2 linked regions of the Rattus norvegicus genome follow. The protein of the gene in region 1 purifies or fractionates together with the protein of each later gene. This does not show direct contact. Links are inferred from orthologs where the notes say so. Each region holds a gene or a part of one and is shown on either strand. Other genes may lie near its edges.

Region 1 (3,292 bases):
CACCCATCACTGCCCGGCTTTCCACCCCCACCACCCCCCACCCCGTTCCCCTGCTCTGCTCCTGCAATTGTACAGACTTGACTGGATGACTTCAGGAGCCGTGTCTCCTATAAAATTCGTATATCTAGTGACATCTTGTGACGCCTCCCTCTCAGTGCTGCCCCTGGACTCTTTGTTGGAAAATATAACAGAGTGAGGCTGCCTCAGACCCCTCCCAGCCAAAGAGAAAACTTCAAACGAACAAAGGGGTAAAGGCTAGTGAAGATACAAGGCGGAAATCAAAAGAAATTCTGTGCCTATTCCCTCAATCCGTGTTGGAGGCCGACCCGCTGTCTACCCTATTGTTTTAATTTTTGCTTTTATTTGTTTACTTTTTTTCAGACAGGGCTCAATAAGCCCAGGCTAGCCTTGAATTCGCAATCTTCCTCCGTCCATTGAAATCTCCAAGACCTTGAGCGCTGCAAAGATATACTCGCTTGAGGTTCACCCAAGAAACTTTAGAGAACTTCGCCTTGAGAGTGTTTGAGATAATCCCAAAACACGAATTGCAAGGAGAGACAAAGTTGTACGGAGGGGTTAAGTTTCATCAAGGCTAGTACCTTCAGCCCCAACCTAGTCCATTCCACCCAGGGTCCGCGGCCGATCATCTACGTTCCAGGAACCCGCCCAATCCACCCCCGCGGGTCTCCTCGAGTGGGCTCAGGGCTCACCGCAGTCCTTGAAGTGCAGGGGCTCGGCCTGGGTGGCGGCGACCAGCGCCAGCAGCAGGATCGTGGGGGTCAGGAAGCTCATCCTGGGCATGAACGCTGTGCAATCTAGGAAGGGAAAGCAGCCCGACAGTCACAAGATAAACTTGTCCCGGCAGACCGAGGGTGGAGCCAGGTCAGGCCACTTGTGACCAGTAACCAGCGAAGACCCGCCCGCGCCCCGCGCCCCGCCCCGGGCTCCTCAGCCGCCTAGCCTACAGCTTATCCTTTATCTCCGCCCATCTCTTCCGCTGCCAGGGCGGGCATCCAGAGAACCCTCACTCTTCTTTGCGCTCGCCCCTATTCTATTGGTACCGCCCCGTTTCGGCAAGTGGAAGCATTCTCTGCCAATCAAAACCTCTTATCTCGTTATACCCAATAGGCACGCTTGGGGGCGGAGACTCGATGCAACCCCGCCCCTGCCTTCTCCCCGCCCCCCGAAGCCCAGGCTAAGGTGGGGATTTAGACCATGCTAGGGGCGGAGCTTGCGGAATAAGATGGCGGCCGCCAGGGCCTTGTCCCTAACTGCTGAGGCGTTCGGGGCCGCCATTCCTAGGCGCCAGGGAAGGTACCTAACGTCACTTAGGAAGGGTGTTGGGTCCTGCGTCTTCAGGATAGATGGGAGACTAAACCTCACGGGGGAGGTGAAGGCTTGGCAGTTCAGATGAAGGTGTCGTCAGATTTGGGTACGAGGAGTCATTGAGGGTCATCAGGTGCCACTTTTGTTTCCCGGGTTCATCTTCCTTCTTCTCATCGCAGGCTCCTCGCCGCCTTTCCCAGGCTTTTGACCCGCTGGGAAACAACGTCCTCCATTCCAGAGGCTGGCGAGGGACAGATCCGCCTCACAGACAGCTGCGTCCAGGTAGGAGGCCGGACGCAGGGCGGCGGTACCCAGGAGGGTTCGAGAAGAGGTCCCATTCACCCGCCCCGTTATCTCCGCTTGCTTGGCATTCTTTATCCTCTTTCCTGAATTTCAGAGGCTTCTGGAAATCACCGAAGGGTCAGAATTCCTCAGGCTGCAAGTAGAGGGAGGTGGATGCTCCGGATTCCAATACAAATTTTCACTGGACACAGTTATTAACCCCGACGACAGGCAAGGAGGACGGATGGGTCGCTAGAGGCTGTGTTAGGGGATAAAAATGACCCCAGTTTAAGATGCGCTTTTATTCCAAACTTCCAAGCGTCTTAAGTGTGCTTAACAACACCACCCTCCCCATACTGTGTGAGGATACAACAAAGATTTGCCCTTTTATTTCAAAATAAGAAAATTGACTTAATTTAGGGTCCATTGAGTAGTTAGTTGAGAAAGGCTGGACTAGTTTCAGACCAAGTCCTTAAATAGTCCTTCTGCTTTTTACATTGAATCTTTTTGCTTCAAGTACAGTCTGTACCTCCTAGAAGTCCTAAGCAGTATTCCATGTATTGGAGAACAGGATGTACACTTCTGGGCTCAGGGTTATGATATTTGTCATTAATGCTTTCCTCTTGTCTTTTCAGGGTATTTGAACAGGGTGGGGCAAGAGTGGTGGTTGACTCTGATAGCTTGGCCTACGTTAAGGGGGCCCAGGTGGACTTCAGCCAAGAACTAATCCGAAGCTCATTCCAGGTGTTGAATAATCCTCAAGCCCAGCAAGGCTGCTCCTGTGGGTCATCCTTCTCTATCAAAATCTGACACAATGGCAGATGACTCTGGGATTGCCACCATTGTGCCAGTGTGAAAAACCCGGGAATAGTAGAATTCTAGAGATCGATTTCTCATCATGTCCCCCTCTCATTTAATTTAGTCCAGCGGTGTCTTATTTTACCACTATTAATTATGGAATGTGAAGCTTTTACTCTTGACAGAAATACTCTCCCCTCCCCCAGCACAATGTTAAGGCCAAATCCAAATGCCGTTACCTCAACCTTAATCACTGGTTGGAACCCTAGCACTTAGTACCTCTAGGACTCCAAAATTTGGAGTTAACTTCTCTAGCCTTCAAAATTGTTTATATGTGTGTGTATAGCTATATATAAAGCATCATTATAAACTAAGTTCTTACCGTGTTTTTAATCAGGATCACAGTTTGGGTAGCTTGAATACCAGAATTGAGGCCAAAATCGATTAGAAGGCAAACAACTATTGTCTGCTGCCACTTTCTCTTTCCCTCCTTCCTTCCTTCCTTCCCTCTTTCTTTCAACAGAGTCTTATAGGTAGCCCCAGTTTTGGACTCTCAATTTTCCTGCCTCAGCCTCTTTATGCTGGAACTGCAGAAATATTACTACCAGGCTTGGGTCATTCCTTTTTCTTCTTTTTCTTTTCTTCTTCTTTTTTTCCTCCTCTTCCTCCTTTTCTTCTCCTCCTCCTTTTCTTCCTCTTCTTCCTCTTCTTCCTCCTCTTCTTCTTCCTCTTCCTCCTCCTCCTCGTCTTCCTTTCTTTTCTTTTTTGTGGTTGTATGTCCTCTACTCCCCCAGGATTGGACACCTAGAGCATTGTAACTGCTAGGCAAACACTCTGGCACAGAGGTTCTCAACCTCTGGGGCACGACCCCCACAGGGTTCTCATA
Region 2 (4,305 bases), on another chromosome or scaffold:
CAGTGCTCTTAACGACTACTGAGCCATCTCTCCAGCCCCCTCTAAATTCTATTGTTAACAAGATTAAGAACACACAAAAGGGAAGTCCAGTTTCCTTGGTAGTAATATGATCCAGTATGCCCAAAAAACAAGAACAGGGTTTCAAAGAGACATTCATATAGTCATTTTCATAGCAGCATTATTCCTGCTCCAAGAATCGGAGACCTCCCAAGTGCCCACTGCCAGCCCAGTGCATAAGGGAAAGGTAGGAATTCACATAATGAATTACAATTCTTAAAAAGGGAAGGAAATTCTGATACGTGTTACAGTGAGGATGGATGCTCCATGAAGAGAGCCAGGTGCAAGAGGCAGGCACCGAAGGTCCTCAGAGGCTTCCAACACACGAGGGCAGAAAGAGAACTGTAGGCACCAGGGACTGGTGTGTTCTGGGAGGAGTCAATACAGACATGAGAAAAGTTCTGGAGCTGGATGATTAGCGAGGGCTGTGCAGCCATTTGACCAAAGCTGATCTGAATGCACTAAAAGTGGTCTCGCTGGTCTGTTTTCAACTTGTCACAAACCTAGAGCTATCTGGGAAGAGTGACTCTTCAGAAAATGTCTCCATAAGTTTGGACTGATGTGAGAGGGCCCGGCTCACTGTGGACAGGTGTTCCTGATTTGTATCAGAAAGCCGGCTGAAAAAGTCCTAAGAATCAGGACAGTAAGAAGCTTCTTCCAGGGCTTCTGCTTCAGTTCCTGCCCTGAGTTCTCTCAGTAAGTGGGTGTGACTTGAGTGTTTTCAGATGACGTGAACCCCTTTTCTCCCCAAGTTGCTCTTTATTACAGCAATAACAAAGTAACAGTGGTAAAGATGGTAAATTTTATACTGTCCGTATTTGACCATGAACAAATGTCCAATTTTTCCCCCTCCTTTTCTCTGGGCAGTACTGGTGATGGGAACCATGGCTTTCTGCCTGTTAGGAAATGCTCTTCCATTGAGCTATCTCCAGCACTCTCGCTTTTTTTTTTTTTTTTTTGGTTCTTCTTTTCGGAGCTGGGGACCGAACCCAGGGCCTTGCGCTTCCTAGGTAAGCGCTCTACCACTGAGCTAAATCCCCAGCCCCGCTTTTTTTTTTTTTTTTTTTTTTTTCTTTTTTCGGAGCTGGGGGCCGAACCCAGGCTCTACCGCTGGCTGAGCTAAATCCCCAACCCTCGCTTTTTATTTGGAGACAGGATTTTAATTTGCCCAGGCAGGTCTTGAACACGCATCCTCCCGCCTCTGCCTCCTGAGAGGCTGGCTGGGATTACACACTAGGACCAACATAAAATGGCAAATTTTATGTTTATGTATTTAACCACAACCACAAAGGGTTTGAACGGGAGCCAACTAAGGAAAAGGTCGTCGGGTGGCTCTATCTGGGCTTGCGCACCCATCGGCTAGCTGAGGCCCCGCCTACTTCCCCCCACGCACGCGCGTAGCCCGCCGCCGCCGGGGGCAGCTGTGGTGCCCGCCTTCACTAGCGCCCAAGATGGCAGCGGTGGCGCTGCTTCGGGGAGCGGCTGCGGGGCGCAAAAGCCCGGCATGGCAGTGGCGGCCGAGCGGGACCACGAGACACTGCCCAGTCCGTGGTTCCGGCCTTTTCCGCGGCAACTCCACGGATAGTGTAGCCTGGACTTGCTTCCGGCTGGATGGGCGCGCCTTAATGCGCGTGCGCGGCCCGGACGCTTCACCCTTCCTGTTGGGACTATTGACCAATGAGCTGCCGCTTTCGGGGCCTCCGGCCGGCGCGACTCAGCCCTCTGCGCGTGCGGCCTATGCCCATTTCCTAAATGTGCAGGGGCGCACGCTCTATGACGTCATTGTGTATGGGTGAGCTTTGGGCTGCAGGGCGGGGTAATAGGAACGTTAAAGTGTTGTGGGAGAAGATTAATCAGGAATCCCATGAAGGATGTCCAGGATAAGATTTCTAGGGAATGCTGGCCAGACACCTTTGGGAAGAGGCTTAATTAGAAGACTCTGAAAATGACTTTCTGAGGAGGACATTGTAGACTTAGGGAAAGGGTCACCTAGAGGCGGATCTCCCATGAAAGGCATCCAGGTTGGGCTAGTTACTTGCACGGATCCCCAGCCAGTCAAGTCAGAAACTGCTATACAGTGGCTTCTGGAGTTAAGCATTTTCAAGATAGGGGCTTCAGTCTTGTCCCTCCCTCCTCACTTCTTGGAAAGATTTCATTGGTCCTTGGGGCTTTATTTAAAGAGCCACTCTGTTCACAGTTACAGATTGTACTAGTGTTCTGAGAATCCAGTTTCCCCCTTACTTCCGGTTCCTCATTGCCGTGCCAGCTGTTTGCCTGTATGATCTCATCTATGCAGACCTGACTGTGACTGTAAATAGCGTTTGCTGGCCAGCCTGGGCAGGGCCTGTTTCCATAGCATTGAGTCTTCAGTTGCTCACTTTTACAGGACGTAAGTCCTGAAATCTCAGCACCATCTAGCAGGCATGTGAAGACCCACCCTCCCTAGCCTGTCCCTGGGCTGTTCCTCCTTGACTCCTACTAGTCTGAGCTACTCAGTGTCTTTCTAACATGGGTTTTGGTGAGCCTCTTCAGTAACCCCCTAGATGCTCAGAGTGGGAGTATATGGAGAATCCTCATAATTGGAGAATAATTCCTGAACCCCTGAGGGTGGCTGTTCCAGGATGAAAGTGAGAATTGGCAGCCATGATAGCATTATCCAGTAGCTGTCAGCATGCTGTAGGCGAAATCTAGAGTGTCTGTCTCCAGGTGCTAAAAGGCCATGGTGATGTGCTTTCTACACTTGATCTTTGCCAAAAGGCCAAGAAGCGATGTGATGTGCTTTCTTTCTTTTTTTAAAAAGATTTATTTATTTCATGTATGTGAGTACACTGTTGCTGTCTTCAGACACACCAGAAGAGGGCATCGGATCCCATTGCAGATGGCTGTGAGCCACCATGTGGTTGCTGGGAATTGAACTCAGGACCTCTGGAAGAGCAGTCAGTGCTCTTAACTGCTGAGCCATCTCTCCAGCTAGCTAGAGGCTTGCTTGCTTCCTTCCTTCCTTCCTTCCTTTCTTCCTTTCTTCCTTCCTTTCTTTCTTTCTTTCTTTCTTTCTTTCTTTCTTTCTTTCTTTCTTTCTTTCTTTCTTTCTTTCTTTCTTTCTTTCTTTCTTTCTTCTTCCCATTACTTTACTTAGTGAATCTCTGAATCTAGAGAACTAAGTTGGCAAATGACAACCCACGGGCCAGACCCAGTAGGATGCTTTGGTATATAGAGTTCTGTGAGAACCCCGGGGCTGTGTCTTCCAGGCAGTGTTAGTTAGGGCTGCAGTGACTCAGGACCTCAAGCCTAACCAGTCACTGCCCTTTGTAGAAAACATGGATGGACTCTGTACTGGAGGCTTGGATCTGACTGCATTTCCAGGATGCCATCATCTCTGTGTGTGCTGCCAATAGGCAGCTGGGTGTTGCCAGGTGCTAGCCTTTGGTGACTTCCATTCCTCATGATGAGCAGTAGCTGCCAGTCTAGTAGCAGTTGCCCCTAGTGTTGAAGACCCTAAGTGTTTGCAGCCTTGGTCCTACAATGTTTACAGCTCTTGTGGACCTTCTATTGGGATTCCTCCACTCTTGGCAGCAGCCAGTGTTACAGCTCTTGTAGGGCTAAGGAAGTTGAGATTTTTTAGCCATTGATACCAACCATCATCACTGCTCCTCCACACAGGGTCTCAGACCCTTGGCTCTAAAGTTTTGATTGACAGCTCTCTGGAAGTCTTCAGTGACCTGGGCCTGCAGTTTCTCTTCTCTGGCCCTTTGCAATCTTTTATCCTTCTTCAGTCTCAGCTTGCTGTCTCTCTTTATCTGCCATCTTTCTTACTGCCCAGGCTGTTGCCGAACTGCTCAGCTGTTGCCTCAGCTGTCAGACGACTGGCAGTCTTGTCTTCTCTGCAACTTGGCTTGTCCACTGCTCAGCTGCTGCTGCCACTGCCACTGGGGTTCCACTGCCTCTGCTGACCTCTGCTGTCTCCACTGCTACTTTCTCTGTTACCAGCCCAGCCCACACTACTAAAAGCAAGAAAACGGAGAGAAGCCTTTTCTTGGGCCTGCTGCTCCCACACTGGGGCGAAGCTCAGGAGAGTCTCCCCACAGCCTCACTAAGGGAGCCTTCACAGCCAAAAGAACGTTTGAGCCAATCACAGACTTGCCTGTTGGCAACCTTCATAATAACTGAGGATTGTGTTTTGGACAGTTGTAACCCTGTGTCTTTAGCAGTAGTTACAATAATCCCTCTTCTAGGCTACCAGGGAGATGC

The links. Proteins that work in one complex are often made in the same cells at the same time.
Region 2: the proteins of Isca2 (region 1) and Iba57 purify together in Homo sapiens (co-immunoprecipitation; 4 studies listed by BioGRID and IntAct, with this or other methods). This does not show direct contact. The link is inferred for Rattus norvegicus from reciprocal best matches to the Homo sapiens genes ISCA2 and IBA57.

Annotation. Positions count from the first base shown.
Region 1 is NC_086024.1:110,148,350-110,151,641, forward strand, and holds Isca2 (iron-sulfur cluster assembly 2 homolog, mitochondrial precursor), read left to right. Parts: upstream 1-1,243; coding exon 1,244-1,314; intron 1,315-1,505; coding exon 1,506-1,608; intron 1,609-1,723; coding exon 1,724-1,839; intron 1,840-2,243; coding exon 2,244-2,418; 3' UTR 2,419-2,754; downstream 2,755-3,292. Other genes in the region: Npc2 (NPC intracellular cholesterol transporter 2 precursor), read right to left, coding at 711-801. UniProt on the Homo sapiens protein: Involved in the maturation of mitochondrial 4Fe-4S proteins functioning late in the iron-sulfur cluster assembly pathway. May be involved in the binding of an intermediate of Fe/S cluster assembly.
Region 2 is NC_086028.1:44,447,524-44,451,828, reverse strand, and holds the start of Iba57 (putative transferase CAF17, mitochondrial), read left to right. Parts: upstream 1-1,460; 5' UTR 1,461-1,508; coding exon 1,509-1,849; intron 1,850-4,305. UniProt on the Homo sapiens protein: Mitochondrial protein involved in the maturation of mitochondrial [4Fe-4S]-proteins in the late stage of the iron-sulfur cluster assembly pathway. Operates in cooperation with ISCA2 in the maturation of [4Fe-4S] proteins.